Schizosaccharomyces pombe: one gene and its partners. The gene in region 1 interacts genetically with each later gene. Each region holds a gene or a part of one and is shown in the gene's direction. Other genes may lie near its edges. The genes, in order: pfd5, air1 and fin1.

Region 1 (3,755 bases):
GTGAAATATGGGAGCTTACATCAGGCTCCATGTACTTTCGTTTAGAGAATTCAGATGAATATGATCATCTTCTTAAAGTGTATTCTGGTCAAACATCTTTTTCTTTAGAGGAAATAGAAAAGGATTTAGGTAGAAGTCTTCCAGAATATCCTGCTTATCAAAATGAAGAAGGTATCAACGCTTTGCGAAATGTTTTAGTAGCCTTTTCTTGGAAAAACCAAGAGGTTGGTTATTGTCAGGCAATGAATATTGTTGCAGCTGCTCTTTTAATTCATTGCACCGAGGAACAAACCTTTTTTCTGATGCATAAGATTTGTGAAGATTACATTCCGGGTTATTACTCAAAGACGATGTACGGCACTCTAATTGATCAACAAGTTTACGAAAGTTTGGTTCAACGCTCAATGCCTAACTTACATGCGCATTTTGTAAGCAAAGACATTCAACTTAGCATCATTTCTTTGCCGTGGTTTTTGTCGCTTTTCCTTTGCACAATGCCTTTACCGTATGCGTTTAGGTTGTTAGACTTTTTCTTTCTAGAGGGTCCAAGGGTTTTGTTTCAAATTGGAATGGCTATCCTATATGACAACGAAGCTGAAATTATGAAGGCTACAGAAGACACTATGTTGATATCAATTTTAAAAAATTATTTTTCATCATTGGGAGATAAGGCTTATAAAGATGCAACAGATAAACGCGTTGCCTCTATCACGAAGTTTCAACTTTTATTGGTAACTGCTTTCAAGAAGTTTAGCCATATAACACACTCTTTAATTGAAGATGAAAGGAAAAAACATTACGAAGGAGTTATGAATTCTATTGAGTCATTTGCAAAGAGAACACAAATTAGGAGTTTACAAAATTACGGTACATTAACACGTACGGATTTAAGTAATATTTACGACCGTTATCATGAAGTATTGTCGTCCAAACATCGAGTTGGATTAGGCAGCTCTACTGATACACGGTTGGAATTTGACGAATTTTGTATATTTTTAGCAGGAGTTACTGAATGGGCGAAAGGTTTGGATGCAGCGGCTATCAATAATTCATCATCCTTTCTTCGTCATTTGTTTTTACGATTTGACAAAAGCATGACTGGATCATTATCTTTACAGGATTTGGTGTCCGGTATTGCAGAATTGAAATTTAGGGATGTAATGCGCAATATATCTTTTATATTCGAGCTTTATGACTTTAATGGAGATGGTTTTATGGATAAACCAGACGTTTTGAAGGTTTCAGAAGCTATTCTTTGGTTAACTAGGTTTATGGGTGATGAGTATCTATCCGCAGTTAGCGAATTCATACAACGCTGCTTTCATTTTGCTGATGAAGCTAGTCCTGATGGTCATTCTGATACGTTGATTGATATAAGCGACCATATGAGCAGTACTGGTTCTGAAAACCGTTCTGTTGGTGCTAATAGTGATATCAAAGTTAGTCTTCCCACTTTTAGAATGGTTGTTTTATCAATTGGTTTATTAGAGCAATTATTTTCTGGAGGACTCGCCGACTCTATCGTTTTAGCTCCAGTCCAAGAAAAATCATCAACCACCGGAGGTTTGAGAGGTTTATTGGATTCTTTGGTAATTGATACCAATAGGATTGGTAAAACATTTCGTGGGCATAAACCCGCTTCTCGTCCAAGTACCGCAAATGGTACTAGCAATCAAAATACTACTTCTGAAATTACCACATCGGAAACTACGGCGACTGAAAAAACACCTTCAAATTCTTCAGATACCGAAGATGATGTTGGTGATGTTGTAGAAAACGATAAAGATTTGCTTCAATTTGATCCATACAAAAAAAATGATGCTTAAAAAGCTATACTTAAACTTCTAATCAATGGCACTATAATGCATCCTAACTAGTATTATTTTCCCAAATTTTGTTAATCTTCATGCTCATAATTTATTAATTATTGAAAAATCTATCATCTATATTGATATATTCTATAGCGTCCCTCTGCTCAATAACATATTCGATTCTACTTTCACTGTTTGGTATAATTCTGAATAACTGTTTAAAACAAATATTGTTTCAACCAACTAACTGATTGTATATTGAAATGGATTACCATGTACCTGTAATTTAATGCAGTGCAGCGTTGGAATTTCTACCAGTTCCTTCGTATCTTGACTGTTCTAATAGAAGCGTAATAATGGCTGAAGGTAATAAAGCGGTCGATTTGACTTCTCTCAGCTTGGAGCAATTATCAGAAGTTATAAAACAGTTAGATTCTGAGCTAGAGTATCTATCGACCTCCTATGGACAACTAGGACGTGCTCAATTGAAATTTCGTGAATGCCTGGCAAACGTTAACGATGCTGTGCGGGCTGAGAACGATGGTATAGACAAACTGAAATTTTTTTTGCATATGTTTCACTAACTATTGTCAATAGGAAAGGAGGTTTTGGTACCTTTGACTTCAAGCTTGTATGTTCCTGGAAAGCTGAATTTAGGAAACAGTAAATTGTTGGTCGATATTGGGACTGGTTATTACGTTGAAAAGGTATTTTTAATATATAAGAGATTTTTAAACCTAACGACATTAGTCCGCTGGAGAAGCTACCGAATATTATAAAAGAAAATGTGAATATCTCGCCAGCAGTATCGAGAACCTCAACAATGCCATTGACGCAAAATCAGTTCAAATTAGAGGTATGAGCATTTACAGTACAGATCAATTTTTATCTTATTATCAACAATTTGCTAATTCTCTGTAGCCGTTCAAAACATTATGCAACAAAAGGCAACAGCTACAACAGCTGCAACTAAATCTTCATAAGCTAAATAATTAATGAAATTTCAAAAAAAGTAAGTAAAGGATTAACCAATTATATGATGTGCATGCTTTTTGTTAGTTCTGTGAATCTTCCGCGGTAATGTTCGTTTGAGCGATAACTGGAGCTTCGTCGTCAGTATTTTCAGTGTTCATCGCCGCCAATGTTTGTAAGTAAAGAGCCTTGCTGTAAAGCAAACTAGTTTGCGCGATATTTTTTATGTCCTCGAAGTTTTCAGGCTCTGAAGAAGGTTCGATATAAACACGCTTATAAAGTTAGACCAATATAGCAGATTTATTATACTTACCTTTTGAAGAGAGTCCACCTTGCCATTTAATTTTTTGGCTTCGATTATTTCTAATAAATTTTTCTCAATGAAGTTCTCATCAATATGAAAATCAACTGCAATTTTGCTGAACGGCAAAGCACTGTAAGGAATTAAATAGTCAAGAAGTGAACGCTCCCGAATAAGGGAAAATAAATTTGTCAATTGAGGAGCCAGATACATGTCTAAAGAATAGTCTTGAGCATTTTGCTGTAATGTATCAAGCAAAAGACTATATTTGCGATTACATTTCGCTTGCAAACAACGTCTCAGGGAAGGGTCTAAATCTGACAAAGCATTGAACTCTTCATTTCTTTCAAGCTCTTGAATCAGACGTTTATGATCCCAGCACGCTAGTGCACAAAGTGAGATATACACTGAAATGTCAGTTTTTGTAATAATACCATCAGAGGTATCAGTTTCAACTTTTAAAAAATGAGCCAGGGCCTCTTCGTAATCACCCAAGCAAAAGTTGGCCAATCCACAGTATGCATAAATAGGACTAGTTAGCTCCATGGCTGCACTAACAGTAGACTTGGCGCGAGACCCGAAGGCTAGTACATGAGAATAATTACCAATCCAAATAGAAATTCTCATTAACTCTAAGGATAAATGAGCAATTTGTCCAGCATTTGTACAAT
Region 2 (3,684 bases), 3.0 Mb from region 1:
ACCTTCTTATTTGTATCAGATGAAGATGAAGTTGCACTGTCAGAAGCCGTTTCATCACTGACAAATGAAGGATTAAGTGCGCAGTGAAATTCCTTTCCGAACTTAAATTTCTTGGTACGTGTTGAGTCCCTTAAGACTTTACTACCATTAGACTTCAGTAAATAATCATTTTTCTCTTCCTCATCCTTATCGGTTGAAGTCATATACCCATGGTACCTCTTTCGAGATTTGTGTTTTAACCATACTCTTAAACAAGCTTTTCCATTTTTATATTTATCAAGTTCATCTTTTTTTATCAATGCTTCAACACCCGCCAAGAATTTAACACTCAGTGTGCTGTCATTTTCGTGCAGTATTTTTTGAACGGTGGTTTCAGACGCGTCATAATAAGGTAGTAAAACATCAAGCGGTTCACGACGTACTACTATTTTACATAAAGAATCATCTTCTTTTGGCATGCTTTGAGATGAATATCTAAATATTCTTGGTAAATACTGTGTATTTGGAGTTGTCCTTAAATTTCACTACGTAACGCAAAGAGAAAGAATTACCAGTAGTAAACGGTTATAAACAATAGCTATTATACAGTACATTAATAGTAACAAACAAGTTTTAATCTTTTAGATGTCATTTTAAGCACGTACAAACCTTTGATGACTTCTTTGACCCTGATGGTGGGTTTTAGTAAAATGGTTATTAGCATTCGAATGAGTACGCGCGCGTTGATGTTCATTTGTCTGAGGAAGAGATTGCTGCTGTTGTGTAAGTTGAGTGTTAGAAGAAGCTGTAGTCTGGGGAGCTGAAAAAGCTACTTGGTTTGTTAAATTTACAGCAGGCATCATAGGGACGAATGCAGCAGCATTCATAGCATTCATTCCTTTAGGAGCCATATAGGTATTTGCGGATACAATGTAGGGCGGTGGTGGACATCCTAAGTTAAAGACATTATATTTGGCTAAAATTCGGAATATTAGACTTCGTATTCAACAAAAGTATTATAAAGTAATAACTTACGAGGAAACGCATAAGCATAAGGAAGGTCTAGCGAACCATTCCCCTTTTTTAAAAATCCAGAGGATGCCCTTTCTTCAAGTTGTTTTTGGGCTTCTTCTTGAGCTACTTTCGTATAGTAGTCCTGAACATTTTGTATATGGGCTCTTCCAGCATTGTGTGCTTTTCTAACTGATTGGCTATCATGAGTGAGCCAAACTTGGCAGTAATCACACAAATCTAAGCATTAATTAGTTTTCAATTATTGTTATTCATCGTATCATACATCTTGGCATTTTAGCGTGTTTGGCTGTTGTTGAGTCTTGTAATAAATGTGAGCTGTGTTGAAACGCTAAAATGATTTAAAAAGAAATTAATGTCAATTAGCAACAACTATACAAAGAACGTTCATAGTTAAACATTGAATGTTAAATTACTGTTTATCTATGCTTTACAAAGTGTTGAAACGAAGCTCTCGAATTTTCAACTACTTTAAAATCCAACGCCTTGAAGAGTCGGGAAGGTGCAATCATTTAATATTTTAATATAATTAAGTTACTGCTGTACTTTCAATATCTCTTCACGATCAGGGCTTTTAAGTACCAGACATTCTTGGTTATGCATTAAGTGTTGCATTTGAGAGAACAATTGTAATTTGGAGTATAAGTTATTTATTGAATTTCATTTATTGTCATGCTCATTTCAATGAAATAAACTTCTCATGAGAAAGCCAGATATAATCCATGTAAGGTGAATACTCACACCTTAACCAAAAATTTTTTGCCTTTACTGAAACTATTAAATTTCCATTTGATAGTTAAATACTTGAAGTGTTTTATGTTTTATTTGCTTTTAAACTGTTAAATTGATTGGGAATATTGTGAAGTAAACTACTGGCCGGCTGTTAAGTGTTAAAGAAAACTGTGCTTGCCATTATTACATTGCTTGTCAATATATGGACATGACTGTTTCAAACCAAAAAGCAGAAAGTGATGATGGTTCAGACATCGACGATGCGGCCTTGTTACAAAAAATTAATTCTTTACCGATTGACCAGAGTATCACAAATTCGGTGAGCTTGGAAAAGCATGATTTTCAAGGAAGTGATGACCATGACTCCTCTACGGATCTTTCCGATAGTACTTTGGAAGATGTGGAAGGAAGTGAATGGGCAGACGTATGGATTGAAAAGTTTTTTTTTAATACTTTTTACTAATAAAATTTAGGTGAGCAGGGGTAGATACTTCGGGTCAGATCCCTCAGAAAGTATAGTTTGCCATAATTGTAAAGGGAATGGTCACATATCTAAAGATTGTCCTCATGTTCTGGTATGCATTTTGATCGGACATTGTTTTTTTAATAGTGTTACTAACTGTATTACAGTGTACGACTTGTGGAGCAATTGATGATCATATTTCCGTAAGATGCCCCTGGACTAAGAAGTGCATGAATTGTGGACTACTGGGTCATATAGCTGCGCGATGTTCGGAGCCGCGAAAAAGAGGACCTAGAGTTTGTCGGACTTGTCATACCGATACTCATACTAGTTCGACGTGTCCTTTAATTTGGAGGTATTATGTCGAAAAAGAACATCCTGTTCGCATTGATGTTTCTGAGGTTCGAAAGTTTTGTTATAATTGTGCATCTGATGAACATTTTGGAGACGACTGTACTCTTCCATCTAGATCAAATTATCCTGAAAGCACTGCATTTTGTGAAGCGAACTGTCCTTCTGGAAATGATGCATCTAACAAGGAGTTTTTTGAAACCCGTCGTAAAGAGTTTCAATTGGAGAGGCGAGAGCAGAATCGAAATCAAAAATCGTCGAAACAACGGCCTTTTCACAAACCAGGAAATTCTCTAGCATCTAGGCTGGGATCTAAGCCAAAAAGCTTTAAAAGAAAACATAGCCCACCTTCTGAGGAGAATGGCAATTTATCCTTTCATTCTTCAGATGGAAGAAAATTTACCAAAACTTCAAAAAAAAATCGTAAACGAAAATGGTAATTCATGTGCTGGTATTATTCATCGCATGGTGTATCGCTCTGCTCACATTGCATTGCACTCATTGATAATACTATCTTACTAAAATTTATTGGCAAAATCTAAAATATATGTACATTAATTTTATACACTCTCATTTGCTATGTTCGCAAAATTTGTAATGTTATTGACCTCCATCATCAAAATTAAATACAAGCTATGATAACGGAGTAAACCATAGTTAGAAAGCAAAACAAAAAAAAACAACCAAAATCGAAGATAACAAGGCAAAACAAACAAATTTGCTTTAGGGTAAATAATGACAAACCGCCCACCAGAGTCTAAAAGAATGTGACACGATAATTAACGCAAGTTTAAATAAGTGTTACATCTGACTCTTACAAAATAGCTGTTTTTAAATTAATCAAAAAAATTTATGAAAGGCTTTCATGCAAAATAAATTGGTGAAGAGCCTTACCACCAGGGACAAATGGATACACATGTTCCTTTTGGGCAACCAAAACTTCCATAAGCACAGGACCTTTAGTTGACAAAAACTCCTTCATTTTTTTAGCCAAATCTTCTCTCTTTTCTACACGTAGTGCTTTGATGCCCATAGCGTCAGCCAACTTAACGAAGTTGGGATTCTTTTGATGAGTATGAGAATAGCGTTTCTCATAAAACAAGTTTTGCCATTGAGTGACCATGCCT
Region 3 (3,755 bases), on another chromosome or scaffold:
TACTGTACATATGAAAACCTTTCAAGCTTTTTGTCTGTAGGATCGACTAAATAACCAAGTTTTGGCAATCATAACATCCAAATTAATTGAGCAACAAGTTTAAAACCCAAACAATGTGTGCAATACGACTTGAACAATTTTTCCAAATAGAGAAGTTTGAAGCGAAGTGTTGTCAGAAGCAGTTTTAGATTTTTCTTCCTCATCTATTGGCTCAGTTGAACCAAAACCAAATAAATAATGAAATAACCAATTACGAGGTTGATGTTTCTGAGAAGATTTAAAAATATCATTTTTGTGTTGAACAATGACTTTTTTACCAAGACCAGATTGGGATTGGAAATGGGCATCAGCATGCACGGGAATAGACATTGAGGTTTCGGAGGAAGAGGCATCCGTCATTTCCAAGTCTTTATTGCTGTTTCTTAACGTTTTCGGAACATGCTCCTTCGCTTCTGCGGGGCTGTATATACATCCAACCATAAAAGAGTCATTTATCAACATTCCGTTAGACAAAACTGCTTTGGCAGCAGAAGAAGGCTCAGCATATGTTAATTGTAGCCAGTTACCAGATATGGGACCCTTGGAGGGAGTGAATCCGGCACTTGAAGCAGTTAATGAATTCTCGCTAATAATAGTTCCAAAACGAGAAAATTCAGCTATTACTTGATTTGTCAATTCTGGTGGGAAACCGAAAACGATAACGGAGGTATTTGAATCTTGAGGAGCGCCAGACATGGTAAAAGAAGGGTCGTATACCTTTTCAGAGACAGGAGAAAAAGGGGAAGAACTTTGTCCAACATTGAGAGCATTAATTTGCCTAGAGGAAGAAAAGTCATAAATGGATTGAGTAGGAGGAGCATCTTCAATTAAAGATCCGGTACCTAAACGATTTGTATGCAAAAACGGTTTCGGTGTACCAAAGCTGGGTCCGCCGAATTTTGAAGAAGGGGGACTCGAGAGAGATAAACGGAAGGAAGAGCTATTTAGAGAAAATTAGTAAAGGTTCTAAGAGTTTATGTCTAATATTTAAAAATTCATAGGGATTAGGCTGAAGCTCTAACAAATTTGGATATAGATAGATATTAGGTAAAAAAGCAATTATACTAAACAATTTTTTAATCCTCCGTCTTCAAATGTCCCTTAAACTCTTCAAAGAAATTACTTACGATGACTCATATGGTTCTGCTAAAGGCGAGCTAACCTCTGGGGCAAATCGACGCTGCTGACTTGATCCAAAGTGTGAAAGATGACTGGGAACAAATTTTTTTTCTTGTGGAATGTTAGAAACAGATGTTCGAAATCCACGATATTCTTTTTGAGGAGAGGGCGAACGTAAATCATCGACAGAAAGTGGCTTTAAGGTTGATCGATTCGTGATAGAACCACTTCCCCCAAAAGACATGTTTCCGGCAATATTACTAGAGTCTTGTGATAGACTGTTGTGTAACATATGTTTTGCAACGTATATAAATTAGCGGTAAGTTCATTTGAAGGAGATGGCTTGCATGGAATGAATCATGAAGCCTAGCGTAGATCACTAAAACCAATTAACGCAAAATAACAGTTTATTGTTAATGCTATTGATTTTTATAAAACATGCAGATAAATCTTTTGAAAGCCTCAAACTAATATTAATACGTTTAGCTATTCATTTTTTTAAAACTTGATTTAAAGGACTCTGTTAAATTCCAAGCTCATTTACAACAAACCTTATACAATCATGTCATAAAAGGCATTATAGATGATAAAAATTCTCCACAACTTTTTCTCATTGCTTATTGAATAGCGTATCTTTTTCTTACAGAAATTAAAATGCGACTGGATATATATTATAATCGTAGCAATAAGCACCTGAAGTAACAGTGTTACTCCTAACCATGGCAACATTGTTTACACTTGATGATTTAACGAGACACTGCAGAAGAACCAAACATAAACATCTTGGCTTGAAATTCATATACTTAGCACTCAATCACTCCAAGCAGTATTTTTTATATTATTAATTGATAGAAGAATTTTTCTTTTTCTTTAAAGGTCCTACCGAGAAATTTAGTTTTATTTTAAGCTTACCTGAATCTCATGGGCTACTTCTGTTCTGAAGTATGGAAAAATACAAGATTCTTGAGTGTATTGGACATGGGAGTTTTGGAAGGATTTATAAAGTAAGTTTTAATCTTATTTTCACTGAAATTGGTTATTGGATAGCAAAATTCTTTCTTGTTTTCAGTTTATTTGCGAGCAACTACTTGTGGTTGGCAAATGAATCTATAGCATTGAATCAATTGTTTTCTTAAGAAACAGGGAAACTATATTGATTTAAATGCTTTTCGCTATTGTTTGTACTCTATTCAAAACAGTTTTTCAAATTGAAACTTTGATCGATATTTTTTTTTGCAACTCCTTTTTTATGCATTATGCTAACTATTATAGGTTCAACGCTTAAAGGATGGTGCTGTAAGTTTGAAAGCAATTTATTTTTATAGTTATTAATACTTTTTAGCTTTTGGCTCAGAAGGAAATACACTTTGGTAACATTACTCGGCAGGAAAAGCAGTACATCGCAGATGAAGTGAATATTCTTCGTAATCTTAAGCATCCAAATATTGTTCAATACTGCGGAGAAGAATTGAATCGTTCTGCGCAGGTAATAAACCTTTATATGGAATATTGTGGTCATGGTGATTTAGCCAATCTTATTCAACGTTATAAAGAAGAGAAAAAGAGATTTACCGAGCAAGAGGTTCTCAAATTTTTTACGCAATTACTACTTGCTCTGTATCGCTGCCATTATGGAGAAAATGCGCCTGCTTGTGACTCACAGTGGCCAAGAGAAATTTTTCATCCTAAACAATCTGTATTGCATCGAGATATCAAACCTGCGAATATATTTCTTGATGAAAATAATTCAGTTAAGTTAGGAGACTTTGGTTTATCCAAATTGCTGGACAATACGCGTGTCTTCACACAGAGTTACGTGGGAACTCCATACTATATGTCTCCTGAAATAATTCGGAGCAGCCCTTACAGTGCGAAGTCTGATGTTTGGGCTCTTGGCTGTGTTATTTTTGAGATCTGCATGCTTACGCATCCCTTTGAAGGAAGGTCGTATTTGGAATTGCAACGTAATATTTGCCAGGGTAATCTCTCCTGTTGGGATCATCATTACAGCGACGATGTTTTCCTTCTAATCAGGCATTGCTTAGAAGTTAATTCAGACCTCAGACCTACTACTTACCAGCTACTTCGCTCTCCTATTTTATCCGATATTCGTAGTAAATTGGAATCCGAGAGAGTAGTCTTGGAACAAAGCGATTTGCTTCATAAAAAACATCAGATGCTTATTCAATTGGAAAATGATCTCCAATTTCGCGAGCAAAGGCTTTCTGCTCGGGAAAGTGAACTCGAAAACGTTATAGCTTCTCGCTTAGCCCAACGTGAAGAGATATTGCGACGTGAGTTGGAAAAGCAACTGCGTGACATGGATGCTCGTTATCAAAGACACATGCAAACCGTAGTAAACTCTATGCAGAAAATGCGTGTTACAAGTCCTGTGGATCATAATGAACAACCTGAAAGCAGTACCGCTGAGATGTTTGTAGATTGTACAATTGAAGCATCACAATCCCCCCTACTTCATATTCCTAAGTTAGGAATTAGCAAGCCCTTGCAAACGTTATCGTGTCCGGGTTTCACTCTAACTACACAACAACCGATATTGAAAAGACCTACTCTCCGTAAAGAATTATCAAGCAGAG

Evidence for each region.
Region 2: mutations in pfd5 (region 1) and air1 together harm fitness more than expected from each alone (negative genetic interaction), as found in Schizosaccharomyces pombe (2 studies listed by BioGRID).
Region 3: mutations in pfd5 (region 1) and fin1 impair growth when combined (synthetic growth defect), as found in Schizosaccharomyces pombe (2 studies listed by BioGRID, with this or other methods).

What each region holds. Positions count from the first base shown.
Region 1 is NC_003423.3:4,025,251-4,029,005, forward strand, and holds the start of pfd5 (prefoldin subunit 5), read left to right. Parts: upstream 1-2,155; 5' UTR 2,156-2,167; coding exon 2,168-2,354; exon of another isoform or gene 2,355-2,408; coding exon 2,409-2,518; exon of another isoform or gene 2,519-2,561; coding exon 2,562-2,667; exon of another isoform or gene 2,668-2,732; coding exon 2,733-2,794; 3' UTR 2,795-2,866; coding exon of another isoform or gene 2,867-3,055; 3' UTR 3,056-3,096; coding exon of another isoform or gene 3,097-3,755. Other genes in the region: SPOM_SPBC215.01 (GTPase-activating protein), read left to right, coding at 1-1,826; COP9/signalosome complex subunit Csn1, read right to left, coding at 2,867-3,055, 3,097-3,755. UniProt on the Schizosaccharomyces pombe protein: Binds specifically to cytosolic chaperonin (c-CPN) and transfers target proteins to it. Binds to nascent polypeptide chain and promotes folding in an environment in which there are many competing pathways for nonnative proteins.
Region 2 is NC_003423.3:978,842-982,525, reverse strand, and holds air1 (TRAMP complex zinc knuckle subunit Air1), read left to right. Parts: upstream 1-1,757; 5' UTR 1,758-1,945; coding exon 1,946-2,167; intron 2,168-2,216; coding exon 2,217-2,318; intron 2,319-2,373; coding exon 2,374-2,997; 3' UTR 2,998-3,168; downstream 3,169-3,684. Other genes in the region: SHREC complex ATP-dependent chromatin remodeller Mit1, read right to left, coding at 1-458; U1 snRNP-associated protein Usp103, read right to left, coding at 633-955, 1,015-1,230, 1,277-1,286; ilv1 (acetolactate synthase catalytic subunit), read right to left, coding at 3,408-3,684. UniProt on the Schizosaccharomyces pombe protein: Component of the TRAMP (TRF4) and TRAMP5 complexes which have a poly(A) RNA polymerase activity and are involved in a post-transcriptional quality control mechanism limiting inappropriate expression of genetic information.
Region 3 is NC_003424.3:1,352,258-1,356,012, forward strand, and holds the start of fin1 (NIMA-like serine/threonine protein kinase Fin1), read left to right. Parts: upstream 1-1,963; 5' UTR 1,964-2,102; coding exon 2,103-2,162; intron 2,163-2,430; coding exon 2,431-2,454; intron 2,455-2,500; coding exon 2,501-3,755. Other genes in the region: nucleoporin Nup40, read right to left, coding at 100-979, 1,167-1,402. UniProt on the Schizosaccharomyces pombe protein: Promotes chromosome condensation and nuclear envelope dynamics during mitosis. Activity appears at metaphase-anaphase transition.